Linked DNA regions of Styela clava. Each later gene encodes a partner of the first gene's protein in a complex. Links are inferred from orthologs where the notes say so. Each region holds a gene or a part of one and is shown on either strand. Other genes may lie near its edges.

The links.
Region 2: FACT complex subunit SPT16-like (region 1) and FACT complex subunit SSRP1-like share a complex: the UniProt entries of both Drosophila melanogaster proteins name them as parts of the FACT complex. The link is inferred for Styela clava from reciprocal best matches to the Drosophila melanogaster genes dre4 and Ssrp.

What each region holds. Positions count from the first base shown.
Region 1 is NC_135262.1:5,709,413-5,725,713, reverse strand, and holds the start of FACT complex subunit SPT16-like, read left to right. Parts: upstream 1-7,938; 5' UTR 7,939-7,995; coding exon 7,996-8,061; intron 8,062-8,291; coding exon 8,292-8,390; intron 8,391-8,515; coding exon 8,516-8,599; intron 8,600-8,703; coding exon 8,704-8,847; intron 8,848-9,392; coding exon 9,393-9,485; intron 9,486-9,859; coding exon 9,860-10,006; intron 10,007-10,441; coding exon 10,442-10,593; intron 10,594-10,939; coding exon 10,940-11,112; intron 11,113-11,682; coding exon 11,683-11,847; intron 11,848-12,163; coding exon 12,164-12,342; intron 12,343-12,945; coding exon 12,946-13,038; intron 13,039-14,027; coding exon 14,028-14,143; intron 14,144-14,584; coding exon 14,585-14,741; intron 14,742-14,823; coding exon 14,824-14,888; intron 14,889-15,565; coding exon 15,566-15,628; intron 15,629-15,915; coding exon 15,916-16,051; intron 16,052-16,301. Other genes in the region: ATP synthase F(1) complex subunit delta, mitochondrial-like, read left to right, coding at 7,124-7,639. UniProt on the Drosophila melanogaster protein: Component of the FACT complex, a general chromatin factor that acts to reorganize nucleosomes. The FACT complex is involved in multiple processes that require DNA as a template such as mRNA elongation, DNA replication and DNA repair.
Region 2 is NC_135254.1:10,878,309-10,894,236, reverse strand, and holds the start of FACT complex subunit SSRP1-like, read left to right. Parts: upstream 1-9,284; 5' UTR 9,285-9,492; coding exon 9,493-9,549; intron 9,550-11,122; coding exon 11,123-11,308; intron 11,309-11,683; coding exon 11,684-11,789; intron 11,790-12,179; coding exon 12,180-12,370; intron 12,371-12,476; coding exon 12,477-12,571; intron 12,572-12,947; coding exon 12,948-13,083; intron 13,084-13,272; coding exon 13,273-13,376; intron 13,377-14,035; coding exon 14,036-14,164; intron 14,165-14,549; coding exon 14,550-14,774; intron 14,775-15,378; coding exon 15,379-15,451; intron 15,452-15,869; coding exon 15,870-15,928. Other genes in the region: endoplasmic reticulum mannosyl-oligosaccharide 1,2-alpha-mannosidase-like, read left to right, coding at 3-203; uncharacterized protein LOC144422860, read right to left, coding at 4,767-5,483. UniProt on the Drosophila melanogaster protein: Component of the FACT complex, a general chromatin factor that acts to reorganize nucleosomes. The FACT complex is involved in multiple processes that require DNA as a template such as mRNA elongation, DNA replication and DNA repair.

The DNA.
Region 1 (16,301 bases):
TTTCAACATCTAACGGTCTTACACAGGGGTGGGCAAGGTTTTTGAACCAGGGGCCCAAAATTTTGCCCACTTAGACTGGCGGTCCATGTAAGTGTGACGTAAAAAGAAGATACATTTTATGAACAATTTTTACAGTGTTACAAAAGCAAAGGTGGAAAATAATAAGCCTCTTGCTAAAACTAAATTTAATCGCAATCTCAACAGATTCCTTGAGCTATATTTTAGTCGAAACATCGAAATTTTATTTTACTTTGGTTTCGGCAGAATCGGGCGGGCCAGATTGAATTATCTAACGTGCTGAATTTGGCCCGCGGGCCGTAGTTTGTCCATACCCAAAATCAAACCAAAAATTTTGCATTTTTAGTTCAAATCAAATTGGAAAACTTTTTATCGGTAATACCCGACCCTTCTGCATTGATCTTTGCGAACTAGCTCCCAGACCTCATCGTAGTACTATTGTACAAGTACCGATGCGTGATCTTCGTGTCCGTACTTTGATCTCTCGATAGGTAGAAGATGCTAATAGTCATTTTTCTTGCATTAAATTAACTGTTGTATTCAACCATCAGGTATGTATACAACCTGCTGCCACGAATTATCATTTCCATTCTTGCGCGCTTCCGACGCGCCATCCATTTCTTTTCCGACTCGGCGAATGGCATCTTGGCTTTTCCACGGAGGTGGGTATAAGAAAAACCTTCCATTTAATTCAACAGAAAGCTTAACGAGACTAATATATACTAATTGTCGTGTTGTTTTTCATGGTCGTTCTGTGCAGATTTTATAACTTTTGCAGCGTTTGCTATTTTGTTGAATGAACGTTCTCCATGTGATTCATGCACACGGTTATGCATACGCTTTTATGTTTTCGTGGTCAAAATGTTTTGCGTGGTCGCGAGATGGGTTCGAAATCCAGTGAGCGATTTAATATCGTGTTTCCCCGAAATAAGACTTAGCCTGAATTTTAAAAATGATTTTGATATACGCCCACCTTCTCAAATAAGACCTAGTCGATATCGCGAATATTTTTTTGACCTAGTCGATAACAAGATTTCTCTTCTATACTCGTTTCAGATGATCGGTCATTTTTTTGAATAATCTGTGTGTAGCATTTTTTTCAATCAAAAATATATATGTTATTTATAGAAAAAGCTTTTCATCTTTCGTATATTTGATAGTTACTCTGTCTTATTTTCGGGAAACACGGTACCATTCTTGGTCCCAAAATGCAGAATGGGTCTATTCAGTAGTGGGATTCAGCCGGTTCGCACCGGTTCTATAGAACCATCTCACGGAATTTTATGAGATCAGCGAACCGGTTAGCATTAAATGACTTTTTGTAACAGAACCGCCTGAAAATATAACATTTGTATGGTGGAACCGGTTGACAAAAAATTTGAATCCCACCACTGGGTCTATTACATCGAGAATTCTATGTACCTATCACACAGGTATACCCATGATTCGAGACTACTCACGCCACTTTAAAGACAGCCTATGTGGTTTTGGATATTTAGCTGACGACAGTTTTTTATATATTTTGGAACAATGTATATATATATAAACATAAAACATGCATTTTTAATAACGTAAGAAGTAAATTTAAAACAAAAATAAAATAGAAAACAATACACGACTACCAAAATAAAGTAGATCATAAATAATACCCATAAAAAGTCATTTGACTTCTATACACAATCCGTTAGGTCTTGTTTCAGGTAATACATATGAAGCATAAGTAATAATCGGGAACTGTAAGAAAAAACATTTTGCTTTCCGGCATATTGCAACAAACTAGGCCTATGGACGACGGCACCTAACGCAAAATACCACACAAAAAAAAACTTTCACTTTCAGAAAATCAGAAATTTTGTTGTTCAGTCAGATTGATATTTCACGTATATATTTGTTAATAATAAGCGTCATCGTTGTGCAGGTGGCTTGGCAATTAACCCATTTGACACATATTGTTAAGAAATAATCAGAATTAAAAGGTCAAGCGACACGCTAGGGTTATGAATTGTTGTTAGAACGGAATGCCTTCGAGGGATCATGGTAAACAAACACGGTGGTATTCATATTCTAAATTTGTCGATAGCATTGTCACTTTGGTCGATTTGAAGACCTTTTTATTGCTACCCACAGAATACTGCCTCTTATTAATAGAATTTTACCGGGACCTGGCAATTCCCTTCCATGTGTGCGCCTGGAACATGGAAACATTACCGATCTCCAGTCAGAAAAAGAAAGATTCAAAAATAAAGCATTCACAAAAACTGAAGTTTGACGGCCAATAAAGCTATACATAATAGGTATACTGGAATTACATGCCATTGCAACCGTATCTGTTACAAGACAACCTGTTGTTAGCAAGATCAGTTTTGGAAGGCAGCGAATCACGGAATTCCGATCTCCTGGTTTTTGTCTCGTGTTTGCATGATGGCGCAGCAAAGGCCATATAAAAAGACCTAATAATGTAATTGGTACATAGATTGGAACGAAAAATTCACTAATAGTGAGGGCGATACTTGGTATATTTCTTAATCCTACAATCGCACAAACTCCTTTGTATCTGGCAAATATAGTTGCCCAACAAAAGATAGAAATATTGCATATTGGCAAAATCAATGCCGTAATTAAAGCTGCTTTGCTAAAATTGGACGTCGCTTTTGACGCTAAATATTTTAAAACCGGCTTACCGTATATAACACGCTGCCTCAACCATAACACAATATAGATTAACGAAATACTAATCCAATAAAGCATATTTTCAACTCTCCCCAAAATATTACAGTCAATATTTTCCATGCTTTCGAGTATGAAAGAAAAACTACTATAAAAGAAATATATTGATAAAAAGTATGCAACATAGAGACGCGAAATTGTAAGTAGTTTTCCATAAATATTTTTCCCACGGTGGGATTTTCTTTTGACCATTTTGGGGTTGTTTTGAAAAAACTTTAACAGCATCAGTAAATTATATATGCAGCAAATTGTATATATAAATGACGGTATTCTCAACATTGTCATATTGGGCTTTTCAAAATTATACATTGCTTGTAGTATTTTTTGCTCCTCCCTGGATACATTTGAATATGATATGGACTTCACCACCGGGTCCTCTGGAAAATAATATTTAATTGTTGTTGTATATGTTGAGTTAGCTTTTGACACATTGTGGTTGAATGCCTTTCCAGATTGTGAATTAGATTTCACCCTCCAGTCAATAAAATATTCCATTTTACTTTCTTGACTTTCATTCCAAGACATGTGTATCCGCTGCACAATAATTTCCAAAATTTACATGTATACGTATATTAGCTATATGTATCTATATTATTAATACTGTAAACAAATTGCAAAATACTATTTAGGGACAAATCAAGTCAGGCAGAACCAATATAACACATACTGCATTTCTGAAAAATCTTTCCTGCATTAATAACGGGACTGAGTCTTACTATTCACTCTAAGTAACTAATACAAGTCAGCATTCAAAAATTTATAGGAAATTTAATAATTGCATTAATTACGTCCCTTCCGCTAGATGGGCATCATAAGTGAATTTTCGTGTCTTTGAATTTCAAATTTTACAACGTTTTTAATTTTATTACCTTAATTTTTGTTGCGGTCAATGCCAATGCTTCGATCTTGCCTAAAAAATCTTAAAAATTATGGGTATTAGAACCACCTAAGGCTACTTTGTCAGTCTAAGCACTGAATAATTTATAATAAAATATTATTTGCGTATGTTATTTATGATATAGCCTAGAAAAAAATAAACAATTCAAATATTCTTTCATCGATCCTTCATCCCCTTCTAACAGCGAATATTTCCATCGTGCCATAAATCCCGAATTTACATCCATTATTGTTTTGGTCAAAGACAACTTATTTATTGAAATATGTACGTAACTATTGCGACGAAGCAATGTCTTTCCATTCGCAAACCCTCTTGGACAGAAGCTATCGGCGTCTAAGTTATTTACCAGAAGCATGTCGGGTGTTTAAAAATGTAAAATTAGGTTTTTTGTCAACGGATTATCTCTAATGCCCAGGGCGTTGCAAAATACGGCGGTGAAATCCAATTTATACAAAAAGAATGGATTATGGGGATAGGTGATTGTGCAAATTTTGATTTAAAAAAACAATTTTACATCGACATTCTGATGAATATATATATAAAATAACTCCGCTTGGGTACAAGAACATGATAACACACACACTAAAAACTGTTTTGCGCCAACTGGTATTCCATTGCGTTGGTCGTTTGGGACGATAGACGAAATTGTGAACAAAACAAAAAATACGTAGTATTATCGGCTAATATTCATTGCCAATAATATTATTTCCCTCCGTTGTATTTGGTCGAGTTGTGTAGACCTACGTGTTGCCATTCTAATAACATGCTCTAATCCATATTAAAGCAAATCAATATACGTAACCTACGTATACAGATGTAGTTTGGTAATTATTTACGACAAGTTCTAGTTATTAGATTCCCCGCTTCTCGTAGTTCGTTCGAGAATTAGGAACTTGAAGTCAAAAATAAGACTAACTTCGAAAACGTTAAACCGTAGAATTTGGTTCACGTAGATGTCAAATAGTTGTACTGGGGTTTGGAACAAATTTTTCATTTTATTCTTTGGTCGCCTGTGTCTAAACAGACACACGCTCTTGGTATGATACCATGTAGCCTAGTTGTGTGTTATATATTCAACTTGATTAAATCAATAGAACTCTTATCTAAACTGTTGAACCGAGGATTACCGTACTTTCGGAAAGTCAAAAAAGTAACGTATCTAGCCCATCTGAGGTCTTCTTTTCAAAAAGATGTATAACCTGCACTCCAACACACACCTTATATGAAGAAACTGCACAACGGAAGTCTATACTTGACGTTTGTTGGACATAACCGGTATGATAAACAAACACGAGAGTCACTTTCACTATATGATCAAGCAGTTTTAGTGATTTTTCTTTCGGTGGATAGCACTAAACCCGTCCCAAATAATACATTGTTTAAATGAAACTGTTGGGTGACGCTAGAGCCCGAAAATTACAGTCATTACTGGTATGTATTTGTAAATCTGTTTGTTCTCTGTTTTTTGTTTTTTTTTGCATTAACGATTCAAAAATTTGACTCACGGTCATCGAAGAACAAAGTAATTTGTCATAAATTCAATCCATATTTCGCTATGAAATCGCGCCCATTCGCATTTTCAACTAAGCGATTTGCTTTCGAATAAGAAGGGCTCACAGAGGTCAAAGAAGATCTGAATGGTGGCGCTGTCGACCAACTGGTGTTGGCGGTGCTTTTTGCCAAATTGTGCCGTGATTTCGTTCATGTATTTAGGATTGATAAAAAATGTAATAAACTCGAAATTGTATTAAAAAATAATTTTGGTAAGACCAAGGCTAGAGGGAAATCAGAATATGGGTGAGATTTTTCTTTTGTCTCGGTTGACACTTACATCTGTACACAGCCTACTGCTGTACTGAAATGAAACAATGGCGGCATGGCATTGTCAAATTAGGAGGTCTGGAAGTTATCAGGGCGGGAATTCTGAAATGATTGTACTGTTGTATAACTTAAAAAAAAATTTTTTTCTAGAATTTGCATCTTGAAAAAATTGTTGAGAGATTTTCCATGCGGAAAAAATGAGACACATTTGAATACCTTAAATCTTGCCAGTTGAGCAAGTGAAACTAAGTTTCAGTTTAAAAATCAATTTCTTTTTGCATTGCAATTTTTGGTTATAAGTATAAATGTATTTAAACTCAGTAATCGACATAGAAGACTTTAGAATACTGAAATAATTGATGAAAATTAAGAAATCTGCAAGCAAACGATTTTTGGCCATATTTTTATGAAACGACCTTTTAAAAAAGATGCATTCTTTTGCATCTTCTTTTCTTTTCGTATTTTCAAATATTTTGACTACAAAATACCTCCATCATAATACACAAGGTTACCCCCCGCAAAAAACCATTTGCACAAAAATCCTTTCCTACAAAACCACATTCTCACAAAATTCTATTCCCCAAAATTTCATCCACGAAGAAGCTCTCCACATATTCTGTATTTATCCAGTTTGGCACTGCGGCACATTTTGCTCGCAATACAGCGATATGTCATCTCCAGTCTTTATAATTGCCATCGATACTCTCAACACCATGTCTGTATGTGGTTTCAACTGGTGGTCTATGTCGGACATCTTTTACCGCTATTTTTGTTTTCATTCGTTTTGCGTTTTTACTCCCTTTTGGTTATATTTGCTTTCTTTATACTTTTGGCATTAGCACTAATGATTTTTTTTTTTCAAAAGTTTTGAGACAAAAATTTACACAGATCATCGCCATATTTATAGTCATTTTTTATTTATGCTGGAGACATTTAAAATAAATAAATAATTAAAATAAGATCAAGTCCTTACAAACACCTCACTCCATAGCCTTTGTATACCTCGTGCAGCTGCTCTAAAATTCAAACCTGCTGTCTATGTCCAACAGCCATTCATGGATGAGGCCATAAAATGCTATAAGTTTAGAGCTTTTCTACCCATCATGTCTATACATCTGGAATAATACAAAAACAGCCAACTAACCCAATAATTATGTGATACATAAAGTCTTAGATATTTGTTAAATTTGAACATGATATTTTTATCATTTTCATAACATTTGAAACGAGAATATCGGTCTTTCTGACCTAAGACTTATCGATCGAAAGTTAGGGGATCCCCCAAAACAGCGCTCTTATTCCATAGTGACACCTTGTGTCCCATCACTGATTAATTAATAACTCTCTAATTATACGGCATAATTCGCCCGAAATCAATAGGCTTCTGGTCCGAGATATGATGAATGCACATGCAAAATCTGGAGCAGATTCAATCTCGCTTTCGTGAGATATGGCGTGCATCTAACATACAGACAAATACCTATCGACATACTTACCGATTAAAATCAATAAGTAATGATGCATCTAATTATCGGGTATAATATAATTTTCGATAATATAATTTATCATTAAAGTTAAATGGGAGTGTAGATAATGCTTCTAAAATCTTGCTTTAGATTTATTAGTATAGTTTCGTCAAGCTATAAAAAATAAGGAACTATGGCGTCTCTTGCTGCCCGTGTTTTTTGCCGCACTGGACTTGTAGCTCGACGTTTGGTGGCTCAGAGCACAAGAACTTACGCAGATGCTGCACCGGCTGTTGCACAATCAGAGGATATGGTTTTTACGTTTGCATCTCCAGTAGAGGCCTTCTACAATGAAAGCACTGATGTGAAACAAGCTGATGTACCCACCGGGGCTGGGGTCATTGGTATTCTAGCAAAGCACGTTCCTATTTTCGGAGTACTTAAACCCGGTGTTCTAACCGTATTCGAAAAAGATGGAAAATCAAATAAGTTTTTCGTCAGTAGCGGATCTTTTACGGTGAACGAAGATTCTACGGTTCAAATAGCCGCAGAAGAGGCCGTAGCTTTGGATCAACTAGATGTCAATGCCGCAAAAACAAATTTAACAAAAGCTCAAGCGGAATTATCGTCAGCAACAACGGATATTGAAAAGGCTGAAGCGCAGGTGGCAATAGACTGCAACGAAGCCATCATCAGTGCCGCGTCATAGAGACTTATTCTGTTGAAATTCAAAATTTTATGGCTTGATTTATGTTATATTAATCCATTGGTGTATCTGTTTGGACTATCTTTATGACAATGAAATTCCATTTCAATATCCTTTTGTGTTTATTTATTCTGTTCTGACTTATGTCTAACCATACATAGACTAGGTAAAATTGGAAATTTCAATTCGAAAATTGCAACTGAATAATTTAATTATCTAATTATAGTATTTAAGAATGACTATCTGAATTGCTTAGAATTATTTTTTCTGAAAATATCTTATTCCAATATAACATGAATCACAAGTGTTTCTGTTTCTAGCATAGAACCAACTAATGCTAATAATCTAAATTCATCATCATGTCTGTTTCCTTGGATATAGAAGCTTTTTATCGTCGTCTCAAGAAAATATATACTGCTTGGAAGGTAGGGATTATGCTTAAAATTTCATTTAGAAAAATTCAAACGTTTTTGATCGCATGCATCCATTTTGTTATTGTTTATGAATGATTTGTATCGGTATATACTCAAAAACGCATTTTGTGTTTCCCAATTGAAATTTTATAAATTGGATTTGATCGGTATGTTATATTTCATAATATTTACCGTACATATATTTTCAAAATGCTAACAAGCTGAAGACTTTTTGAATATAGGATGCTAGTGGAGATGACGGATTCTCTAAATCAGATGCTGTTGTCGTGGCGATGGGAAGTGATGAAGATGTTGTTTACTCAAAATCTACAGCTATCCAGGTCATATCTCAATTTTGATTTTCAAAATCTTAATAGCTGAATCACTAGCAAATTGTTGTTGCTTAAATCAGACTGCCATTACTGCAGGCATAGCTTTATTAAGATATTTTATATGCTTTTTTTAGACATGGTTGTTTGGATACGAGCTAACTGATGTGATCTTGGCTTTCTGTGAGAATAGCATATCGTTCATGGCAAGTAAAAAGAAAGTAAGAGTTTTTTGTTTGTTTTATATTCATTATATTTAGAAATGCTTATGTTGAAATATTTTTGATTTTTTGTCTTTTGTTTGAGAAACATTCTTTTTGTTCAGATTGAGTTTTTGAAACCAGCGGCAAATACAAAGAACAATGAAAATGCGAATGGAATTCCTGAAATCAACTTAATTCAGAGGGAGAAAGATAACAACACTGAAAACTTCCAAAAAATCATTCAGTTCTTAAAGTCGAGCAAAAATGTAGGTTCATAGTCACAGTCAAGTATATTTTTTCCAACCAGTAATATAATATACAGATACAAATGCAAAAAATATGCAAAAAAGTAAAGACCATAATTTTACTGGGGAATGGAAGCCGCGGCGAACCAAAGTCGGTTATCGAGCAGCGGTACCCAATGTTCTGCTATCTAATTAAGATTTAGAAGATCAATATATTATGTTTTGGCGAGAAGTTCTTGTTAGATTTTTATTCCATGTTTAAAATCATTATTTCTTGAAAGCTTTTCTCTATTGTTATTTATTCCAGACATTGAAACATCCATATAGTATGACAAATTAATAAATGTAACAAACCAGTAACTAGCAATAAACGATTAAATAGTGTATGAAATTAATAAAATATTCAGACCATACAACATAGAAGAACATAAAATAATGAAATAAACTCACCTAGATCTGTCTATTAGACCTACCTTATTTGTGCTATTTTATGGTTAATAACTTTATATGCTTTCACGGGTTCTTGAAATGAAGCTTATACTCAAACTAATTTTTCTTCATTACAGGGTAAAACAATAGGAGTTTTTGCAAAAGATAAATTCTCGTCCAAATTTATTGATGCATGGAATGAAGTGTTGAAAAAGTCTAACTTGAATAAGGTATGTCACAGGAATGCTCCTTTTTTGTTATTTTACTCTAATTTTCTACAGTATTTTTTTCTTCAAATATAATTCAGATATAGGCTATTACTTTTATTAATTCTCTGGCATTTTATTTTTAAAAATTTACAAGTTTTGTACTGAGAAATCAATTATATGGCTGAGCTACTATTTTTATATGTATACTGTTTATATACTTGTTTCTTGAAGATATTTTATTCATTTCTATCTGTATTTCTTCATGTTTTATATATATACAGGGTGAGGCAAAAAAAAAAACTGTAAAACAGTTTACCAATGTGGAATCATAACTTGATAAAAGTCTGTCTCTGTCTGTGAGTCTCATCAATATTACTTCACCTTCATAATTTTAGATTGATGTATCAGCAAATGTGGCATCAATAATGGCAGTCAAAGAAGAATCGGAATTGAATCTACTGAGAAAAGCATCAGGAATAACCTTGGAAGTTTATAGCAAAGTTTTCAAAGAATATATGAAAGATGTTATAGATGCTGATAGGGTTCGTACCGTGTTCAAGTTGATTTATTCACGAAAAACTCTGCATACATAATGTTCCAAGAGAATTAATCTTTGCTATGTTAAGGTTTTTCTATGTTCTGTCCAGATGATTATTGATGTTTAAGAAGGACTTCTTTGGAATTAAGATATGGTGTTGGTACAGTGAAACCATGATAACAAATTGGCGAGATCTCATTTCACGCATATGGAATGAGATTGTATTCACCTGTCGCTATAAACTCCTGACTTTATCTTATTCAAGCATCCTTGTAACACGAGTCAAATAACAGATCCTGCAGAACATAAAACGTAAAACGAAGGATGGGCAGTTTATCGCACAACCCCCTGCGCATTTCAAAACATGATATTTGTCTCTACACTCTAGCCATCTCTTTAAGAATCAACCAAGATGACTATACTTATGCTAATTTTCCAGAGAGTTAAGCATTTCAAAGTAGCGGAATACGTTGAAAAATCTCTTGAGGACAAACAGTATCTACGTGGAGCAGATCCAACTTATGTGGAGTCTTGTTATCCCCCCATCGTACAGAGTGGCAGCAACTGCAACCTAAAGTTCAGTGTTACTAGGTAAGTTGGCCAGTTGTTCGTTTTCGAAAGCATGGGCTTGATGGTGGAGGAAGCCGTATCTGACCAGCGGTTACGTGAACCACCCTATGTCGGCGAGAAGTCAAGCAATCCTCTCGCACATAACTATCCCCGCATGAGATTCGAACCTGCGCACTCACACAGGGTAACAAAAGGTGAGGTGGCGAGCGTATTCCTATTGCTTAGCACGATGCAACACACCGCCGAGCCAAACAAAGATCAATTAGATATCAGTGGTTGTACAGTGCCTTGTTTGGAGCAAAAAGCATTATCATCTGTTTTATGAAATATGTATGTGTAATCTGTATCATCCTGATATTTTACTCAGTGACAAGAATACCCTTCAGTTTGGTGTGATCATCTGTATGCTCGGAGTCCGATATCGTTCCTATTGTTCCAATGTTGTTCGGACATTGATGGTCAATCCGACAGAAAAAATGCAAGAAATTTATACTTTTCTACTCAATATGGAAGAAGTTATTTTTGAAAAATTGCAGCATGGTGAGTTGGAGCTGAAATCTGGGTATTCACGTAGTATGTGTACCAGGTTAGGCCATAATTTCATTCCGATTTTCCTTATTCTAGTTCCATTACGAGGTTGGGATTTGGTGTAATTCTTGATTCGGTTTTGATACCACTATTTTTTTGTTTCTTTTTGAAATTTTTTTTTATTAATAAACCAACTGTTAAAAATTTGAGGTTAGGTACTCTGAAAAACAAGGTAATTTATCTAATATGGTTTTAATTGATAAAATTCTCAAATATTGAGGTACTGTTCAAGTACTGATATAATTTATATATAGTTATATTGGTACTCCCGTAGTATGTGAACCAAGATGGCGGACACCAGAACCAGTATGTGTACCAGGTTAGGCCATAATTTCAGGTACAAATACTACGAGAGTCACTTGGCCAGTCCCCGAACTCGTAATAGAACTAAAATGAGGAAAATTGGAATAAAATTATGGCCTAACCATAACCTGGTACACATACTATGTTCAGGTGCCCGCCATCTTGATTCACATTGGCCTACTAGATGAGCGCCCATATCTTTGTTTTTTATTTACTCAGGTACTCCTTTGTGTGATGTTTATAATGAGGTGATAAAACGTACAAAATCTGAGAAACCAGAACTTGTGAATTCTTTCACCAGAAGTTTTGGATTTTGTTGCGGAATTGAATTCAGAGAAAGTACTTATGTGATCAATGGGAAAAATCAAATCAAGGCTAGGAAAGGTAAATTTTAATTCCTTTTAGTAAAGCAGGCTAATATTCGAGTAGCCCTACATTAAACATCGATTATTACTGGTAGCATCGAAACTTGGAGCACTTCAAGTCATTTGGTCCGGAAAATAGCAATTATTTTGATTGTAGAATTGTCCATTCATAAAGGATTTTGTTTGATATTTAGATTTAATATTCATTCTCATACAATTTTCTATCATTTTTTTTTTACCGAATTTAGTTAGTCTGAAACAAGCAATCTATTTTAAAGATTTGTTGAGGTGTCAATTAATTACCCAGTTATTATTCAAAATATCCTCTTTCACAGGAATGGTCTTCAATATAAACATTGGAATTTCGAATTTGGTGAATGACGAAGCGAAAGAAGATTCTGAAAAAAAATATGCTCTCTTCATCGGAGATACCGTTGTTGTCAATGATGGTGCTCCTGCTACTAATTTAACGAAAGATAAAAAGAGAGCGAAAAATATCTCGATTTTTTTGAAAGTGAGTCAAAAATTCCTGTCAAAATATAAATGACTGTATGATCACTGCAGTCACAGTGGTTTCCAACCCATTTTCGATATATAGCCTATGAAATGCTTGATTCTTGCTCAGTATGCATGGTGGTATTAGCAATTTGCACTCAAGCCTTTGAATATTTTTTATTGTGTGCCTAAATATGTATTACGATGGCACTAAATTACTTATATTTAGTGATACTACACCAAATACAAATTAAAATTTATTTTTTTCTCAAACAGTAAAATTACTCTCTGGGGAGGAATTCTTCCTTTGTTGGGAAATGTTGGATGACTGACTGGTCGTTTTCATTATTCCTAAATTGATATGCTTTTCATAGCAATAATAAAATTCACCCAATAAGTATCACATACAAAACGTCTTGCATATCCAGCTTTCGCCTAACGATAAAATTGAAAATATTTTGGCTGGAATCGATGTTATTCTATTATCAATTGTTGAGATCTTCTGAATAGTTGATATTTGTTAAGGATATTTACACTTTATTTTTGTTGTATTACTTGTTATTTTTTTTCAACTCCTTACAATATCTATGTTCCCCTATCCTTCAAACGTTTCCTGTTTTAGGATGAAAGCGAGGAAGAAAGCGAAGAAGAACAACAACCTGCTGAGTTATTGGGGAGAGGAGCAAGGAACGCAGTTCTGAAGGAGAAAACAAGGGTAATTGTACACTTATTGAAAAAAAAGTATGGGGTTGCGACTTTTTGGAAACTAGAACTAGAAATCCCCATACTTTTGACTAGTCTGCGAAAAACCTGACATTCAATGCTCGCATTTAGTCAATCAGCTAAGTCACACGATTTGTAGGGACATTATTGTAATACTTCACCATACGAATAGTAGGTTAAAATGCTAAGCTACGGCAAGTTTAGCATCTTAAAGTCTGATCGAATGATGCAATAGGTGTTAGTATTATCATAATTTTTGGTCTAAGAACTGTACTAACTGACTACTGTATTTTTATTAAACGGATAATTGGGATTTTGGTAATTCGATTTAGGGGAAACGATATTAAAAAGTGTAGGAACCACTAGCCTGGGGCATCCGTTGGCATCTCAGACAGGTAATGTCAAGCCAGAAAAGTTTCGGTCTTTCCACCTAGGAATGACTGCATGAACAGATCCATGTTTGAAGTGACAGGCATTTTTTATACTAATTTTTTTGGAATGAAGGTATTGTTCAAGCAACCATGAGCTAATTACACAGTTAGGTCATCTAAATCAGAGTTTCCCAAACTTTTTGGCTGCGGACTCCTTTTTTTGTTAATCTTATTTTTGACGGACTCCCAATTCTCAACCTGTACAATACTTTGTCATCATATTGGTGAAAGCTGAAAATGCTGCCTCACACATGTCTGCATGTAGGTTGTCGCAAAAGGCAATGAAGTTTTAATTGCCATTTCTGACAGCAATTGATTCACAATTCGTCCGCAGCGCTCAATCAAAATGACACATTGAAATCAATCATTTAATATCGACCAGATTCATTTCATATCGTCACGACCCCTGGTGCAGTCATCACTGTGGACCCCAGTTTGGAAGACCCAGATTTAAGTTCTTCTCGTCTCGGATAAACATCTAATAATCACACTCGATCGGCAATTATTGTTAAATTTTCATCTAAACATAACGCGACATAACTTTTTCCAGCAAGAACAAACTCTGGAAGAGAAACGTCGATCTCATCAGAAAGAATTATCGAATCAGTTGAATAACGAAGCAAAGAAGAGAATGATGGATAACAAGGAAGACGTACAATCCTCACGGTATATGTTAAATTGACTCTGCTTCTGATTTCATAACTTCGAATCCACGAAAAAAACTGGTGTGGGTGTTTGAAAGTCGTTTTTTGTCTGACTTTTGTCTTAAAATTCCGACTTCAGGAGCAAATGATAATTCCATAAAAGTGGATCTCTCATTTGCTTTGTGTAACTCGCTATTCATTGCAACTAATGTAAGTTGTAACGATTGTTACAACAAACTTCCAACACTTATTGGAGAAAGGAGAGTTTGTTAGAAGGCTATTACTTTTCTTTTCTTCAATTTTCTATGAAAAACTATTTTTCACCTAAAATTTTATGATTTTATTTTATTGGAACATTTTGAGTATTACCTCTGACATTAGCATCCATTTATATGAGCATTACTATCCTGTATTTTGTCTTTTTCTTCCATTTATGTTATATTTTAAACTTTTTTGTTTTCAGGTCTAAAAAATCCAATGTCTCTTACAAGTCTTCTTCCTTGTTGCCTTTCAAAGAACCAGACATTCATGATCTGAAAATCTTCATCGATAAAAAATATGAGACCGTAGTACTGCCTATTTTTGGTCTCCCTACGCCATATCACATTTCTACTGTAAAGGTATGAGTAACTAGTGCTTTGTCTTAGATTTTTTTCACAATAGTTAGAATCTTTTTTCTCAAAATCTTTTATTTTTTGGCAGAATATCAGTATGAGCACAGAAGGTGATTATTCATACCTGAGAATCAACTTTTTCTGCCCAGGAAGGTTAGTTTTTTTAATTTTTTTTTCCAATATTAATTTGTAGTGATTGCATTGGAAATAATTCTAATTGTGTCTTTTGTGTGTAAATCTTTATCACAGAATCATCGTAGGTGGGGTGTGTGCCCCAGTGTTAGGGGGGGCTCTATTTCTGACATAGGCAAACTACGTCCTGCGGACCAAATCTGGCCTGATGCTGCCACAATCAAACTTGATCCAGATTTTGATGTTTTACCCAAAATATAGCAGCTCAATAAATTGGTTGAGATTGCGATTTAATCTAGTTCTCGCACGAGGCCTATTGTTTTTGTAACATTGCAAATATTGTTCATAAAATGTATCTTTTACGCCACACTTACATGGCCTGCCAGTCTAGTTAGGCAAAATTTTTGGCCCCTGGTCCAGAAACCTTGCCCTCCCCTGCTCTATTCATTGACTTAACGAAGGGTCGAAGATATCAAAAAATTAACTTGGACTTGCCATTTGCCATCAACTAACTGCCAGTGAGACTCAACTCAGTAATTCATTCGGACTTGACTCAAGATTTTAATGACCCGTGATTTGACTTGCATCTCAGTTTTAGGAACTTCTACCCAACATAGTGTGCCACATATTCTTGTCTTGCAACCTTTTGTACTGCACATGCTATAATTTAATCAAAAAAAAATTCTGTCGTTTTTCAGTGGGATTGGACGAGTCGACAACCAGGCTTATGCAAACAATGACTCAACATTTGTTAAAGAATTGTAAGATATTTTCTAAGGATTATTTATACACACATTCAAATCAACTCAGATTTGAAATGCATTTGAATCTGGGTTGAAAATTTTCTCTCCAGCATTGAATTCCCAGAGAAATCATATTTTCATAATAAAACTTTGATTGTTGGCGTTGCAATCCATTTTAATATAATAGACTTTTAGGAAGACTTTTTTGAGTTTATATAGAAAAGTTTGACTTCAATAATCACCAATAAAAGTCTGAGTTCAAGGAATCCCAAATTCTGACTGCAGGCATCATTTTTATTATTCAGAACATATCGAGCTCTTGCTGGGAAAGTTCCAGGTAAGGCTGAACCACCTGCTGCTAATCTACAACTGGCATTCCGACAAATTAAAGACGTTCAGAAGAAATTTAAAACAAGGGAAGCAGAAGAGAAAGAAAGAGAGGTATGACTTTTATTATTATATTTTTTCATGGAATTCTTTCTTGTCAGTGGTTTTCAGACGGTGGGGCGCAGACAATTTTTGAGGAGGTATAAACTAAAAATATTTGTTAGATTCGATCTTGTCGCCTTATTTTAGATATTTATCTTCCATCTGTATTTTCATCATATTTTTTAAATAAAACATACTTTCGCTTTACTATCTGTTATTTGTAGCTTATTGTTAGCTAGTTATTTTTGAGGTGGGGCGCTGG
Region 2 (15,928 bases), on another chromosome or scaffold:
AGGTGCCTGGTGGATACACGTCGATCAAAAACGTCATGGATCCGAGAAATACTCAACCAATGGACAAAATGGAATCATTTTTTCTTGGAGAAACGCTGAAGTATCTTTATCTTTTGTTCTCAGATGACCGAAATCTTCTACCTCTTAATAAATGGGTGTTTAACACAGAAGCACATCCTCTACCTATTCATTCTTTAAAATAATAATACTACTATAATTTTTTTCTCAAGTTATATTGAATCTAATTTTTTGATCAAAAACTGTTAAACACTGTAGTTTTACTGTTCTGGGTGTTTTTGAAATGAGGATTATTTTACTGACATGAAACTCAAAATTTATTCACTTTAAAAATTCTTTTTGGGAATAACATTGAATTTGGCATGTAATGAATGATGCAAGAGGTATACTTAACGTGATGATTTTTCATATGGATGTCCATATTCAAATTGTTGCCCATTCAAGAAATCTTGTTCGACCATTAACCTTGATATTTAGGTAGACTATGTGAATGTATTTATTTATTTTACAGTAAGTCACTGATTTTATAGAAAAGTAATGATAATTTAAAATATCTGAATTCTTCAAATAGATATTCACTGAATAAGAAGTTTTTTTCAAATCATAGTTTCATGTCGTACCTCCCTTGTGATCTATTTCATAATACAACACCCCCCCCGCGAACATCAGTTTTAGAATAAATTTGAAACCATGATCCATGCTGGGTTCTATTATTTATTTGATTCTGTAAAATTACCACAAAAATGTTGCTTCATTAATCTTCTTTAGCAATAATTTTTCACTATTTCCGCATAAAAATGTTGGAAATCTACGATAGGAGAGGATTTACATCCAGGTCTGCATTATTCTATTTATTAAATACTGTATGTGAGATGTCATCTAATTTCGGTGTTGCTTATCTGAGGATGAAATGCTTTGTTGTATTAGCGTTGGTATGATGACAAAGTGTTTGTGCAGTACGATTGGTGTTCAAAAGTGTTTACTTTTACCGCAGTATGTGTAAAAGTTCGTTTTGTGTGTAATGCGACATCAATGCATTTGCAGATATTATAATCATTCACAGTTTTTGAAGAGTGGTGGTTAAATAGACGCAACTCTTCCCTGTATTTTTTTATTTTACTCGTTGGCATTCATTTTTAATTTATCGTTTCATTTTCTCACTTTTGCAAGGTTAATTTTTCGAGCAAAAAGTGGTTTTTCATACTCTTCAGATGTGGAGATGCGGAAGCATTTGCAATATTTTATGCTTCTCTCTGTTACTTCAGTCTTATTAGTTCTCAATTGCTAAATAAGATTTGTGTGTTCTTTCATCTGGACTATGCAATTGTGATTATAAAATTTTAATTGCTGCCAATTCGTTTATGATTTTTCTTTAATTAAAATTTGATTCAAACGAAAAGTGTTTTTTCTTATCTCAAGTAAAAAAAGAGGATTGGAAATTTTGTCTTAACCTCGGAAATCGTAGCAGACATGTACTGAACTAAAAGTATGGAAGAAAAAAATCCCAACTGTCATTAATAACTGAGCGATCTCGATCGGTAAGTATGTTGATAGGTATTTGTCAGTCTGTTAAACGCACGTGGTATCTCACGAAAGCGAGGTTGAATCTGATCCAAATTTTGCATGTGCATTCATTATATCTCGGAACAGAGGCCTATTAGTTTTGGATGAATCGTGTCTTATAATTAGTTATTAATTATTTAGTGATGGGTCACATGATGTCGCGATTGGAAATTTTTTTTATTTTTTTGACAAATAAAATATTGAACATGTGGAAGATCGATAAGTCGGCGGCCTCCGATCGATATCTAGTTAATAAACTTGCTTGGAGCGGTAATACCCAACTTCTCTTCAGGCGACCCAAATCCGAAGAAAAAAATGTACATTTCGCATACTAAACGGCACGTAGTTCTTTTATAGCCGCAAAATTTGACGACTAATATAAAACAATTATCGTTATATGCAGTGATTTCCCTACACCCCCCTGGAATTTCAAACGCCGCCCTAATTTTCAGGTGAGACACCATACTTTAATTCTTGTGATGAATAGTTTTTTATAGTTTCGCAAATTTAAAGATTTTCCTAAAAAAAAAGCTACCCCGGATTATTTTCAGGCAGCCCAAATTTGGATAGCGACTCATAGGTACTGATGAGCTGGACAAATCGTAACAACCAGAACGCATTTAATTCGTTAAAATGTTTTATATTTACAACACGTTCATGCACGCTTTCTCCGAGTTGTGTTTTTTTTTTCAGAAAATGGCATCTTTTCTAGAAGTTCGTCGACACGTAACAATTAAAATTCATACAGCAGACCAGAAACTTTTTCACGATTGTGAACCTTGCCATATTTATGTAGTAAGGTTTAGATTATATTTCCAAAATATAAGTATAAATAAAGTAAATTGCTTGAATAGCCAGTGATTCCCAAAGTGGGCGATATCGCCCCCCAGTGGGCGAAAACGATACAGAGGGGGGCGAAAAAGTCTAAGGGGGCGATAGGGGGGCGATTTCGCGAAACCTGTTTTATGTTCGGCGCACTTAATTCTGTACTCTGTGTGCATTGGCAGGCTTGAATCATGTGGGCGATATTCCCACGCGAATGGATTTCTGGTCTCGTCTTCGCAGTAAGGTAAGGTAGTTTGCGTATCCCAGTGATCGGCAAAATACGGCCGGAGTAAAATAATCTGGCCCTGGACGATTCATTGAATGGACCTTTCCCCGACCTTTGACTGCGGAAAATTCTTCCCATACATACCATTTTAAAAGTTTCGGGGCTTATTTTAAGAGTGGTTTCGCGAGTTGTTGCCTTTAAAATGGGGTATTTGTTTCAAACTATCATTCTAATACACACCATTCAACAATCTGTTTTTTAAAAGTACCGATAAAGAATTTTAGCCTAGTCTATCACAGCTATTTCTACACTAATTTTTGATTGCTGTATTTAAACTGAAACTCATGGAAAGACAAAGTAATCATTGACTTATTTGATTTATATTTTAAGTTCCGAAAAACAACTAAAAACTAACGAATATAATCCAAAAATGCGAAAATGAGGTAATGTTCACGACCACGTCTGAAAATCTGTCTGAGTGAGAGTGTCTGAGCGCCTGAGCGGATGCGAAAGGGGGCATTGTTCCCTTTTTTTGCATCTTGCTGATTGGCCAATGTCACGAAGTAAACAAGGAAGTCTATGCCCGGGTAAATATCCAAACGGCGGTTTTGACGATGAAAATTTTTTATTTATAATCTACGCTCGAGGAGTAAATTACATTTTTTTAAGTAACAGAATTTATCGTGAGACACGTTCAGACTAAATTATACTATATCCTAACAATCTAGTGAACAGCCACTCGTTTAACGAGCCTACAATGTAATTATAATTAGACAAATGGAAACACGCAGAAAAGTTGATGCTGAGTGCAGGGGTTCAATAGCGCAGTAAATATTCGAATATATTGCGAAGCAATAAGAAAATAAAATTCATATTCTAATCGAGAGATTCATCACTGCTTAATTTTTGTAAGAATGTATCTTCTTAGAGAGAAAATATTTATCAAAATTTCACAAATCATGCGAAAATATTCACTTCAATGTTCGGAAGTACATATTTGTGCAAATCATTATTTTCGAAAATGAACATTACAAAGAACAAGCAAAGACGGGGGTTTGGTGATGCCCATTTAGAAAATGTTTCAATCTTGGCGTCGTAAAGCTATCCAGCGTGATGCAGCAACGAGACAGTGTCACATTAAATATCATTGTAATGTTTTTTTAATAAGACGACTGAGTTGAGTTCACGAATTGTCGCAGTTTTTGCGTGCTGTTCCGTTTTTAACTTTCAAAAAATATATGCGACCCGCAAAAGACTAGCAACCCTGAATTTTGTCCTGCGAGCGACATAAAATTTGCCGACCCCTGGGCGTAGCCGATAGTCAGTCACGGCTTCTTCCACATTCGAGTCAATGAATCCAAAAACAAATGTACGAAAATCATTATTATAAGTTTGGGAAAATTAACTTTGTTTTTATTATTTTAATGTGAAATGGGGTGAATTTAGGAAGTGAAATGCTATAAGGCAAGAGTACGCGGCGGTTTTTGAGGAGGTAGAACCCTGGATTCTTTCATTTTCGATCTATTATATGATGAAAAAGGGGTTTTCAGCCGTGCTACTATTGCTATTAAAACAACGAAATCACCTTTCCATCAGTAAACGGGGTAATTTTAGATATAATAAATAACTCGCTGAAGAACACCAAGCTCATCTATTTCATTAAAAAACATCACAAACTATTATTTGTCTTCTTATTTGGTCTGTAATATATTCGTTTCTGACTTTATATTTTTTTGTAGTGCAGGGGGGCGATGAAGTTGCATAAACTACTTTAGTCAGACCTGAACTCTTTAGCCATTTATGCGTTTGTTGTTCATTTACATCCAGTGCACATGCTCTAGTGGGATATTTTCCATGCAAAGGGTTTATCATGCCAAATTTTTAGTCTCTGCTTTTAAATTTCTTTCTTATACTTGAGCTTGACATCTTTTGCCATCTTGTTTGCACCTTTTTTCTCAGTTAAGAAATTAGTAACACCAGTTTTCTTCATAAATTCATCAGTTTTGTTGAAGATTGAAACGCCTATTTTTATTTTTATCGAAATCTCGCACGATGCGCATTAGTGGATCTTCTGTATCGGTCAAATATATTTTCAGTCCTACAGTAGATGGTTTGTAACTTTCCTCAATTTGAATCAGACCTCGTCCACCCTTCGTGATAAGTACAAACGTTCAGTGTCTGCTCGAGGATGATGTATTTTATTTATCGTCATTAGTTTTCTCGTTTTGGTATCAAATTGTTTGATTTCTTGCTTAGTCCACTTGATGATATTGAAACTGTACGAAACTACTGGTATTGCAAAACTGTTAATTGCCTTGAAGATGTTTACAGAGTTAAGTTCACTATTCAAAACCGATCGAAGTCTTCTCAAATATTCCTTTTTGATAATTTTTTCATGTCTGATTCCATCAGCTTCATGTACTCCAAGGCAACGATATGTTGAATCGCTACCGAGTTCTTTTATCGAGGTTTCTTGATCTAATTGTAAATTTGATTCTCTAAATAATTTACCTTTGCGAAAAGATGCTTTTGCGCATTTCTCGAGGCCGAATGTCATTTTGATGTCATCACTGAATGATTTCAAAGTTTTCAATAACATTTCAAGTTGGTTATCATTTTTAGAATACAGCTTCAAATCATCCATATAAAATAAATGAGATATTTTTTGTTTCAAAATTTCGTAGCCACAACCGGTTTCTTTCAGCAAAGTGCTAAGCGGGGCCAAGGCAAGGCAGAACGCAAGAGGTGAAAACGAGTCTCCTTGAAAAATTCCGCATGAAATCGAAATGGTGTCACTTTGTATCTTTCCGTCATTGTGCCTCAGGATCAAATTTGTTTGCCAATTTTTCATTGTAATTTTGAAAAAAGAGATTAGGAATTAGGATAGGTGACAACTTGTAAATTTCGAATACCTTTAAAAGCCAAGAATGCGGTACACTGTCAAACGCTTTTCTGTAATCAATCCATGCGGTACTCATGTGTTTTTGATAAGTTCTGCAATTTTCCAAAATCATTTTATTTACTAGTAGTTGGTCTTTGCATCCATCCTTTGCGCCTTGAGTTGTATTTTCTGCTTTAGATTCTCTCTGATTACCGCAATATTACTGTGTAACCCATCTAATTTGTACCGATTTGTTATTTTCTTCATTGTTCGTTTATTAAGAATACTACCGTTTTGTATTTCTGATAAGATAGACAAATCTGCTCTCATTTGTTTAATTTGGCTCTCAATTCTTACTTTCCATTTTGCCTTGTAATTGTGCCTTGGTCCAGTGGGTTTCCTAATTATTGCTCCAACTTTTTCAGTAACCATAGTTGAACATGCATAAATAATGTTTGATATTTCAGTAACATCCAGATCAAATTCCAAATCTTGCTTCAAAAGGGCAATAGCTTCGTTGCCTTCTGCTAGCCAGATTTTAGTTTCTTTCGTCAATTGTAATTTTGGCAATTTGAGTCTGTTTTTAAAATCTTGTTGAGGTGAGTTTATGCATGGCAGTTGTAATATTTCTTGTACATTGTCACATAGGCCATTTTCGTCATGTACATTGTCATTTTGACTCATATCCCTTGATCCCAAGTATTTCTGTTTGATGGATTTCAGTTCTATATCTGTCAGTCGGTTATTTCAAATTATATCCCGTCGGACATTTGCAAGTCCATTTGCTTTCATATTTTGGACATTCAAAGAGTGGGGTCCTTCAAGCCAATTTGTAAGTGTTTGTTTAGTAATACATTTTGGGGAAGAGCTCACAGCTCTGTAGTACGCTTCCATCACTTGTATATACTCTTCACGTTTCCAACGATGTTTTTTAATTTTTTCTTTTCTTTCCGATATTTCACGTATGGGGCTCGGTTGAGGAATATCCTCTGTTGAGGGACCACTTATATCGTGATGTGAGAGTGTGTCAGTAGAAATACTGACAATGTTTTTTTGGGACCTTTTTATAGAGGGCGTCGCCCCAGCCTCTATGTAGTTTTTTTATGTCGAGTTATCATTTTAAATTTTACCTTTTTGGTCCGGGGCTGCTTATTGAATATTCACAGCTGACCTAGTTTTACCTAGGTGTTTCCCCTATCCGCCACCTTGGGGACCCAGCCAGTAGAGATGAGGTCGAACCCCCCTGGGTTATTATTATTATTAATTTAATTGTGATCATTTTAATCTGCGGTTGTGTTGACGAAATAAAAGCAATACTACTCAGAAAATTTCATGACAATCCGTGGACACAAAAATGCGTGGTAAAGTGCCCCATTATATTTTGCTTTGATTCGCATTTTTGTGGATTCGACAAATCTGAGCTGTTCTAAAACACTTACGGCGCTCCTGTACTGCACGTACCAATGTCGAGGCAGTAAAGCAAAGAATCCTAAGGGAAAATGCCCTGGTAGGTATACTACGGTAGCAGTGAAGCAACCAAGTTTTGCGATTTGCAAGCGTTTTTAATCGGTAGCGGATAATCATAAAACAAAAGTTATGGTGTTTTTCGTTTTATTTTTAGTATTACTTTTTTTTCAATTAAGGAAATTTGGGTTGCAACCCTCGACACCAGAAAAAAATTTATTCCTCGTTGTTCGAACTCGCTAGAAATATCACTTAGGACTTAGGTCATCTATCGGCGCGTGTTTTCGTCGGAAATCCGCAAGTGAGTTGTGAAATCCACTCGTTTGATTAAATTAAGCTACCCGCAAGTGACCTATCGCGTCACCTGTTACCAAATTTATGAATACTGTAGTTGAATTGCTATTCTAATACTTGAATATTCGAATATATGCCCAGCGCTACTCTGTAACCAGTGATTATTGACTCCATTAATGTTATGTGAATAAACTTGCTTGGTATGTTTTATGTAAATTTTAACGTAAATCGTAACTTGGCTGATAGTTAAGTTTTGCAAAATCGCTTGCGACCCGCAGTGAATTTCTGGCTCGTTACGGACTCATTCAAACGCTTCGCGGACTCATTTGAGACCGCGGGCTCGGGTTGGGAAACACTGATATATACACACACACAATATTATTTCTTCAGTGTACATAGCTTTAACGTAGTAGTATATATTTACGTTTTAACAGTCGGGGTGAAGTCGCTGTGATTTTTTACTTGAAACACAAAAACAATATCTTTAATAACAAGAGAGCTACGCACAAATATATGGACACGTTAGACCAGAGCGAATCAGTCTTTACCGGTACCTTTGACGCTACCGGTACCCTCAAAAAAGTTCTGAATTTTCAGTAGCAAGAATTTTGCAGAATCAAAACGTACAGCCAGTCATGACACTGACTAAAATCCGTGTTCCCATGGATAAAAAATAATACAGCAAAATTTTAGACGAAATATCAAATTTCATAGAATTCACCCAAAATATTGAAATAAATAAAAGTAATAGCCTTCTAGCGAAGAAATTAATCTTTAACCACTGAAAATTTCAAAGCAATTGGTCCTGTATTCGAAGAGAAAAGCGATTTTTTAAAAACGTGTCAAAGAACAACAACAACACAAGAGAGCTACGCACAAATATATGGACACGTTAGACCAGAGCGAATCAGTCCTTACCGGTACCTTTGACGCTACCGGTACCCTCAAAAAAGTTCTGAATTTCCAGTAGCAAGAATTTTGCAGAATCAAAACGTACAGCCAGTCATGACACTGACTAAAATCCGTGTTCCCATGGATAAAAAATAATACAGCAAAATTTTAGACGAAATATCAAATTTCATAGAATTCACGCAAAATTTTGAAATAAATAAAAGTAATAGCCTTCTAGCAAAAAAATTAATCTTTAACCACTGAAAATTTCAAAGCAATTGGTCCAGTATTTGAAGAGAAAAGCGACTTTTTAAAAACGTGTCAAAGAACAAGAACAACATAATATTGAAACGATCGTTATGTCCACTACGTGTCCAATAATATTGAAACGATCGTTATTGCCACTAAACGTGTCCAATAATAACTCTTACTTATACAGTTATACAGTATACTTAAGACTCTAACTATAACGGCTCAGCACCATACGATGGCGATGTGCTCGTTAGAGTGATTGGAATAAATAGCTCGTACAGGCACTTTATTTTTGATGACGCGGTTCTGTCTGAGTTCCTTTCAAAGTTCAAAATGATTGTCCAAAGATGTTTATTGTTGAGTCAAAAGTTGGTGAAATAGTAGTCAGATAATGGTGCAATAGTTGTCAAACAGAAATCCGGTAAAATACAGTGCTATTACACAGGAGGGACCAATAATAACTATACGAAACAGGAAGTAGAATTATATGATGTAAATTTAAACTACGCCTAATTAATAATACTAACCCCCCCCCCCCCGATTGATTAAGATACAAATTTATACGTCCTACCTCCAAGCGGCTCACGCCGAAAGAGATCCCGCCAACATCAATGGTCAGGGTTCGATGCCCTAAGTTACCGTTGCCAGTTTAGTTACAATAATAGCGGTCACTGTTTATAATCATGGCCGCTACACTAACTATACCGAACAAAACCTTGGTAACATATTACAGTAATGCGGGTCTTCTTTAATTATTTGTTGGAAACGACTTTTCAGGTTTCTGTAGAAAGTCTTGATTGTAGATACTTTTTCGTGAACTCTACAGATTCCGCTGGAGGACGCACCACTGTTCGCGGGATTTTCCCTCTATTCACTCCATGTACTGAAGGCTTCTGATCCAAAGTGACTATAAAGTGTTATACTATAACTTATAGTCACTTTGTTCTGATCTAACCAAGGTTGGCTTGAGGCTTTGTGATAGAGTTAGTCTTTACAACAAGTACCGGTACTTCTAGTTTTGCCTCATTGGTGAAGATCTAACTTTGGATTACTTCTGCTGTACACAAGTAAAGCTGCCATGTCGGCCAGCGTTTTGGATTACAGTGATATTTATCAAGAAATTCGAGGCGCGTTGGTGAGTCAATCATGGGTTGTCATTGTTAATCATTTTGCCTTTACTGCGCATAGCCATAGCTTCACTGACTGTCTTGTAAGGGAGGAATAGGTACTCACTCTTATAATTGATGTCTTTTAATGTGGGGGTTTATTCTTCAGTTCTTCGAATCGAAAACTTAGGTACCGGTATCTGATCTAGACTATCGGATACATGAGAAATTTATTCTGTGATATAGGGTGGTGTAGCCAGTCTGCGGACGATTTCATTCAAACCGCTATAAAACAAAAACCAATATTTCTAACCCGTTAATTTTTTCACCGTAGGTGCATTGGCATTTATTCTACACGCTGAACTTCGAATTAACTTTCTCAACCAGGGGTTAAAGCTATACAAACCACCAAAGTTCGACACTCTGAAGACGTATTTGCGACCGAACGACCAGTGTGCGACCACGGATTTCAAGCCTTGAACATCGTTTCTGCTGCGTCGAGACTAGGGCATACGCAGCCATGCGTGAAAAAAAGGGCTTCTAATTGCATTTCTGACCGCCATATATTTTAAGAACACGATTATTTCAAACAAAATTCTTCAAATTATAAACAAAGCACCGCATCACAGCAATCAAACAGACAAAAACACGGTGGTCGCAAATTAGTTGACAAAGATATTATTGACGTATTGGAAATGCGCACCCCCCTACTCCCCCTCCTTTGAAGATAGAAACGCGAAACTTTAAAGATGGGTAAAAGAAACACAACTCTACCCACCTGCCAAGTTTCATCTCTTTATCTCTTATATTTGTATGGATTTTCAAGCTTTTTTGAAGGAACAATGGGTAGTTGGCGACATGGTAAAATGGTCCGTTTTTTTTCTTCGGTCAGGTTTTCGGGCATAACTTTTTTATTTGTGGCCGCATTTTAGTGTAATTTCGTAGAGCTACGAGGGATAAGTGGACGATAACGCGTGAGAAATATCGGCGCGTTTCGTTAATTTTTTCGGCATTAATTTAATCGATGAAGTTGATGGTCGCAGATAGGTCATGGCCGCAAAGTGGGTAAGCCACCCAATCACAATAAAAAGTTTTTGTTTGGTGTCAAATGTGAAACAGTGCTGCAGTAGGCTATGCCATACAATTATGTGCGAGAGGATTTCTGGACTCCTTGCCATTATAGGGTGGTAACTGTGGCAAGCTGGTCAATTACCGTACCTACGGCTTCCTCCAACACCAAATTCATCCATCTCAAACAAATAATTGGCTAACTAATCTCATACTCGTCATGGACTCGTACGGTAACTAAACGAGATACTGTGGTTCACCCTATGATTGAGCCATCGTATCGGCTTTCTTCTCCTCCGGGATGATTATGCAAAATCTTATTATAACTGTGCCGTACTGACTTTTATTTCAGGGACAGCATTGCCTACCTAATTTAGTAACACCTCTGGTGAGGTGAGATCATGGGATTTGAACCAGCGATCTGTAACTTGTGATGTTTTCATATTTTTTTCCCAATGTTTTAAGCAGGACAATAACTTCATATGATATGGATATTTTATCGGTTTATAAATTTAAATGGTATTTATTTTTCAGCATGAAGGTAGACTCCGGCTTAACAATAATAATGTCGTTTTCAAAAATATAAAAACTGGAAAAGTTGAAACAATTCCACTATCCGACATAGAGAGTGTTGTGTGGAGAAGAGTTGCTCGGGGATATGAGTTGAAACTTGAGTTGACAGACGGACGTTCTTGCAAATACGATGGATTCAAAGAGGCGGTATATATCTTGCAAATATTTTATGCTGTATCATAGCTTAACTTATTTTCTGAGTACCGTAATTACATAGTGAAAAATTTGCATCCCCAATTAACCATTTTTTTTTTCTTTCCTGTAACGGATATGCTGGTATTTTCCAGTTATCATTTAAAATATGCAATTTTATTCCTGCTACAGCATTCTTGCGTTACACGCATACAGATCCACTGGCGCAAAGACATTGAGAAAGGATTGGGAGTTAGTCTCGCGCACCTCTACTGATAGTTGTATCATTTCAAACATTGTCAAAATTTATATGCTATTCCACCATGTTTGGGATATTATGATTGTTGTGTTGTGGTTATTAATACAATATCAATAACATACAAATTTCAGGAGTTTGAAAAGATCAATAAGCATGTGAAAAATAATTACAATGTTACAATTGAACAACAAGACATGTCTGCGAAAGGATGGAACTGGGGTGATACAACATTCAATGGTAGGCTACATTTTGTTTCAAATTTGTCATCATATGTGATTGAACTATCACTCTGAGTAAATCCATACACAAAAATGCACTTTCAAATTGGTTGTAATCGTAATATTTTCAAGAACTGGAATCTTAATTTTATCTTTAATATTTCATTGCACGCTAATTCAGGTAGCAGACATGAGATCTTTTAATAATATGATTGAAGTAATATTTTATGACTTAAATTATTTAAGAATATTCGGGCATTTGAATGGGTTGTTTTAAAGTATAACCTGTAATAATCGCTCACTTTTTGTCTACTGTTGTATAGAGACTTGAGAATGTCAATGATATTATGTTTAATTTCTGTTTTTTTAACGATATGAAAATTAAAAGAAGACTTATGACAATTTATAGGTTATGAACTACAGTTTGATGTTGACTCAAAAAGAGCTTTTGAAATTCCATTGCAAAATGTATCACAATGTACACCAGGAAAAAACGAAGTTTCATTAGAATTTCATCAGAATGATGATGCAGAATTATCCCTTATGGAAATGAGGTTTTTTGTTCCGCCATCACAAAACGATGAAACTGATACTGTGCAGGTTTTTTCTCCTATATTTTTTGTTTGTTCTGAGTTTCAGTACTTATCAGAAAACTAAAAATAATATACAAGACTTATTCCTTATAATTTCCGAATTTAATCCACAGGTTTTCAGTGATAATGTTATATCGAAAGCTGATGTACTGCAAGCGAAAGGAAATGCCATTTGTACATTTCAAGATTTACAATGTCTCACACCAAGGTTGGTTATGTATTTGAAGTGTTTTGTCTTTTAGCGTCTCATTTACTGTTGGCCATTGGTCGTAGCATTAGCCACGATATGTTGATTTATCATTAGTTTCAGCACCATTTTATGATAAAAATACTTTTCTGATTCCACTGTTTCTTAGCTGTAGGATATATAGAATGAAATTTCCAATTGAGTTGAGTTCCGTCATGCTGTTTTGGCACATTGTACTATGTGTGGGGCTCATGTGGGCATGATTATCTGTGAAGGGATTGCTTGGTTTTATGCCATTATAAGTAACTCACGTCACAGCTATATATGTTATTGAACATTCTTCTTAAAAAAATTAGATATGAAAAGATTCAAGTTTTTATTTGCCTTATTTTTACAGAGGTAGATATGACATTAGAATGTATCCAAAGTTTGTTCAACTTCACGGAAAGACGTTCGATTACAAAATCACATATACTTCCATACTACGACTCTTTTTACTTCCACACAGAGATCAGAGACAAATTTTCTTTGTGGTAATTTCGAAATTTTTAATACAAACGCAGTAACTAATTTTTTTCTTTGTTTATTGCATTATTCTGTTTTCTCTGTCATAGATCTGTTTATTTTAACCATTGGTGTATTCCATTTAATGTCTATTCAATTTTTTTTTGCTTTTTTTTATTTATAAATATTTTACTTTAAAGTTTTCAAACTTATTTCAGGTCAGTCTTGATCCTCCTGTCAGACAAGGACAAACCAGATATCATTTCCTTGTTCTTTTATTTTATAAAGAAGATGAAATGTCTGTAGAAATGACTTTGTCTGAGTAAGTACTTTTTTCATAGTTTTAATATTATTTAGAATGGTGCTCTTTTAGTAGAATGTTGAAGCAGAGTAAAATTTTGGTCAACAACAGTTTTATGGTGAAAACAGTTTTTGTATATTATTGACATCATTATTTTTGTCAATACTCACAGAGAGTTATTTGTAGTAACATTTTGTTACCTGTCAATGTTTGTTGACTATTAATTATTAGTAATATTTCTGAGATTAATAATTTTAAATATTAGGAAAGTGAAAACTATGTTAGATTCTATGACATATTAAATTTATTTTAAATGCCATTTTGAAAATAATGGGTTTGTGTTCACTCATTTTTACAATTTCCACTTGAAAATCATCTGAGTAAATAAATAACAAGATTTCGAGAATTGGTGTTAATGATATTTTAGGGCAATATAAATTTCTATAAATTTTCGAAATTGAAAATGTTGCACCATATATTTCAAAAATTATAATTATTGCTATAAGTTGATAATAGTATTTCAGCATATTGATATTAATACCCAATTATTTTGGTGATAGGGAATTGGTATCGGACTAACAGTTGGTATTTTAGTGGTATTTTTACACACATTTTTGGAAAATGCATAAAAATACTTGTTTGTTTGCTTACTGCTTGCCTTCAAATGTTGTTTAAAACAGGAGAGAAATTGAAGAAAAGTTTGGAGATCGATTGCAAAAAGATATGTCGGGGCCAATATATGAAGTTGTAAGTCGTGTTATGAAAAATCTAGTGCAACGAAAAATAACTGTTCCTGGTTCATTCAAGGGGTAAGATATTTAAGATTGAAAATATTGAATCCAGCTTGTCCAGTAGCATGTAAAACATATAAAAATAGGCCTAGTTAATGTACTAAACTAAATTCTGCAAAGTACCGGTATCTGATATTTGAGACTGTCTAAGGAATTCAGGTGTTTAAAAATGAACTTGATCAGAATTCAGTTATTCAGGCCTGAAATCTCCGCTTCTTGTACAGAATGACTGAATGATTTCTTTTATCATATTTGACAATAATGAAAGCAAAATAAATTGACATAAATTGAAACAATTTTGAGATGCCTTACAAAATTTCTTCGTATAACTTGGTCTTTATCAAAATTATGTCGTTAAACGTTTTACCATTTGTTTATAATGTTTTTTTAATATTTTTATCAGTCCAAACAGTGACCAATCCATCATGTGTACTTACAAAGCATCATCAGGATTTCTCTTCCCACTGGAGAGAGGTTTCATGTATGTCCATAAACCTCCGATTCATGTTCGATTTGATGAAATTGCTTTCGTGAATTTTGCTCGTGGATCAGCTACCAGCAGCAGATCCTTCGATTTTGAAATTGAAACAAGAAGTCAGACTGCTTATGTTTTCAGCAATATTGAAAAGTTAGTCAATGAATGTTATAATCTAACCTATATATTTGGTACTCCCGTAGTGTGTGTACTATGTTAGGGTTAGGCCATAATTTTTTTCTGATTTTCCTTATTTATGTCTGTGTCAGGCAATTGAATACCCCACCCCCCTGCTCATAGGTTTCAGTCTCTTTATACAACTTGATGTAAAGTAGGAGAACAAAATTAGTTACCTCCATATTGGTACACACACTGGAGCGCCTGTTATTGTAATGTTGATTTTATCCCCTCTCATTTTTCATATTTTTTACACTATTACCCTGAACAAGGCTACACTCCACATGTTTTATTTTTAGAAGTAACCAAATTTATGGGGTTTAAATCCTTTATATTTTTATACAGCAGTTTATTGCACAGTATTAGCTCACACTCTTACTTGACATTTCAAAAATTATTCTGTTCCCTTTTCAAATCATAACATCATAGGGTAGATATTATTTAGCATGTGGGTGTCTACCACAACTGTACTGACCATAAATTCTGTTCTATCTTACATTACATTAGTCAGATTCTCAACAATAGATTTACGATTTTGGCAAATTTAAAACTAATAACCTTTACATTGTTTTCTCGACAGAAATTGTTACCCTGCTCTTTTCGATTTTGTGAGTCAGAAAAAATTAAAGATCAAAAACATTGGAAAAGGAGTGGTGAGTTTTTCTGATACACCTATGGAATTGTTAATAAAATAGTATTGCTGTGTATTCCCATTGTATATGATCTTCTAGATAGGTGATGACCATGAGGTTTTAGCTTATGATCTTTAATAATCTGCAAACAGCAGCGTCAATAGAGATAAGCCCAATGCGCAGATTGCTAGATAATATTGCTATAATATAATATTGGACCGAATTTAAATTGCAAAAGGACTTTTGGTTTGACTTTTTTGGTTGATAAAATTCATATATTTTTTACTAAAACTAATTGAAAACCGTTAACCAAAACCTGAAAAGCATTAATTTTACCAAGTGTTTTTAACATTCTATTATACAAGGGTATGCGCTAATTTTTCATTATCGAAGTTTACTGTAATTTGAATTTGCGGTTGAGTTGACATTCTTCTTACAGGATGGAGGTGGAAATATCGATATTATGGCAAACAGTGATTCAGAAGATGAACAGCATGA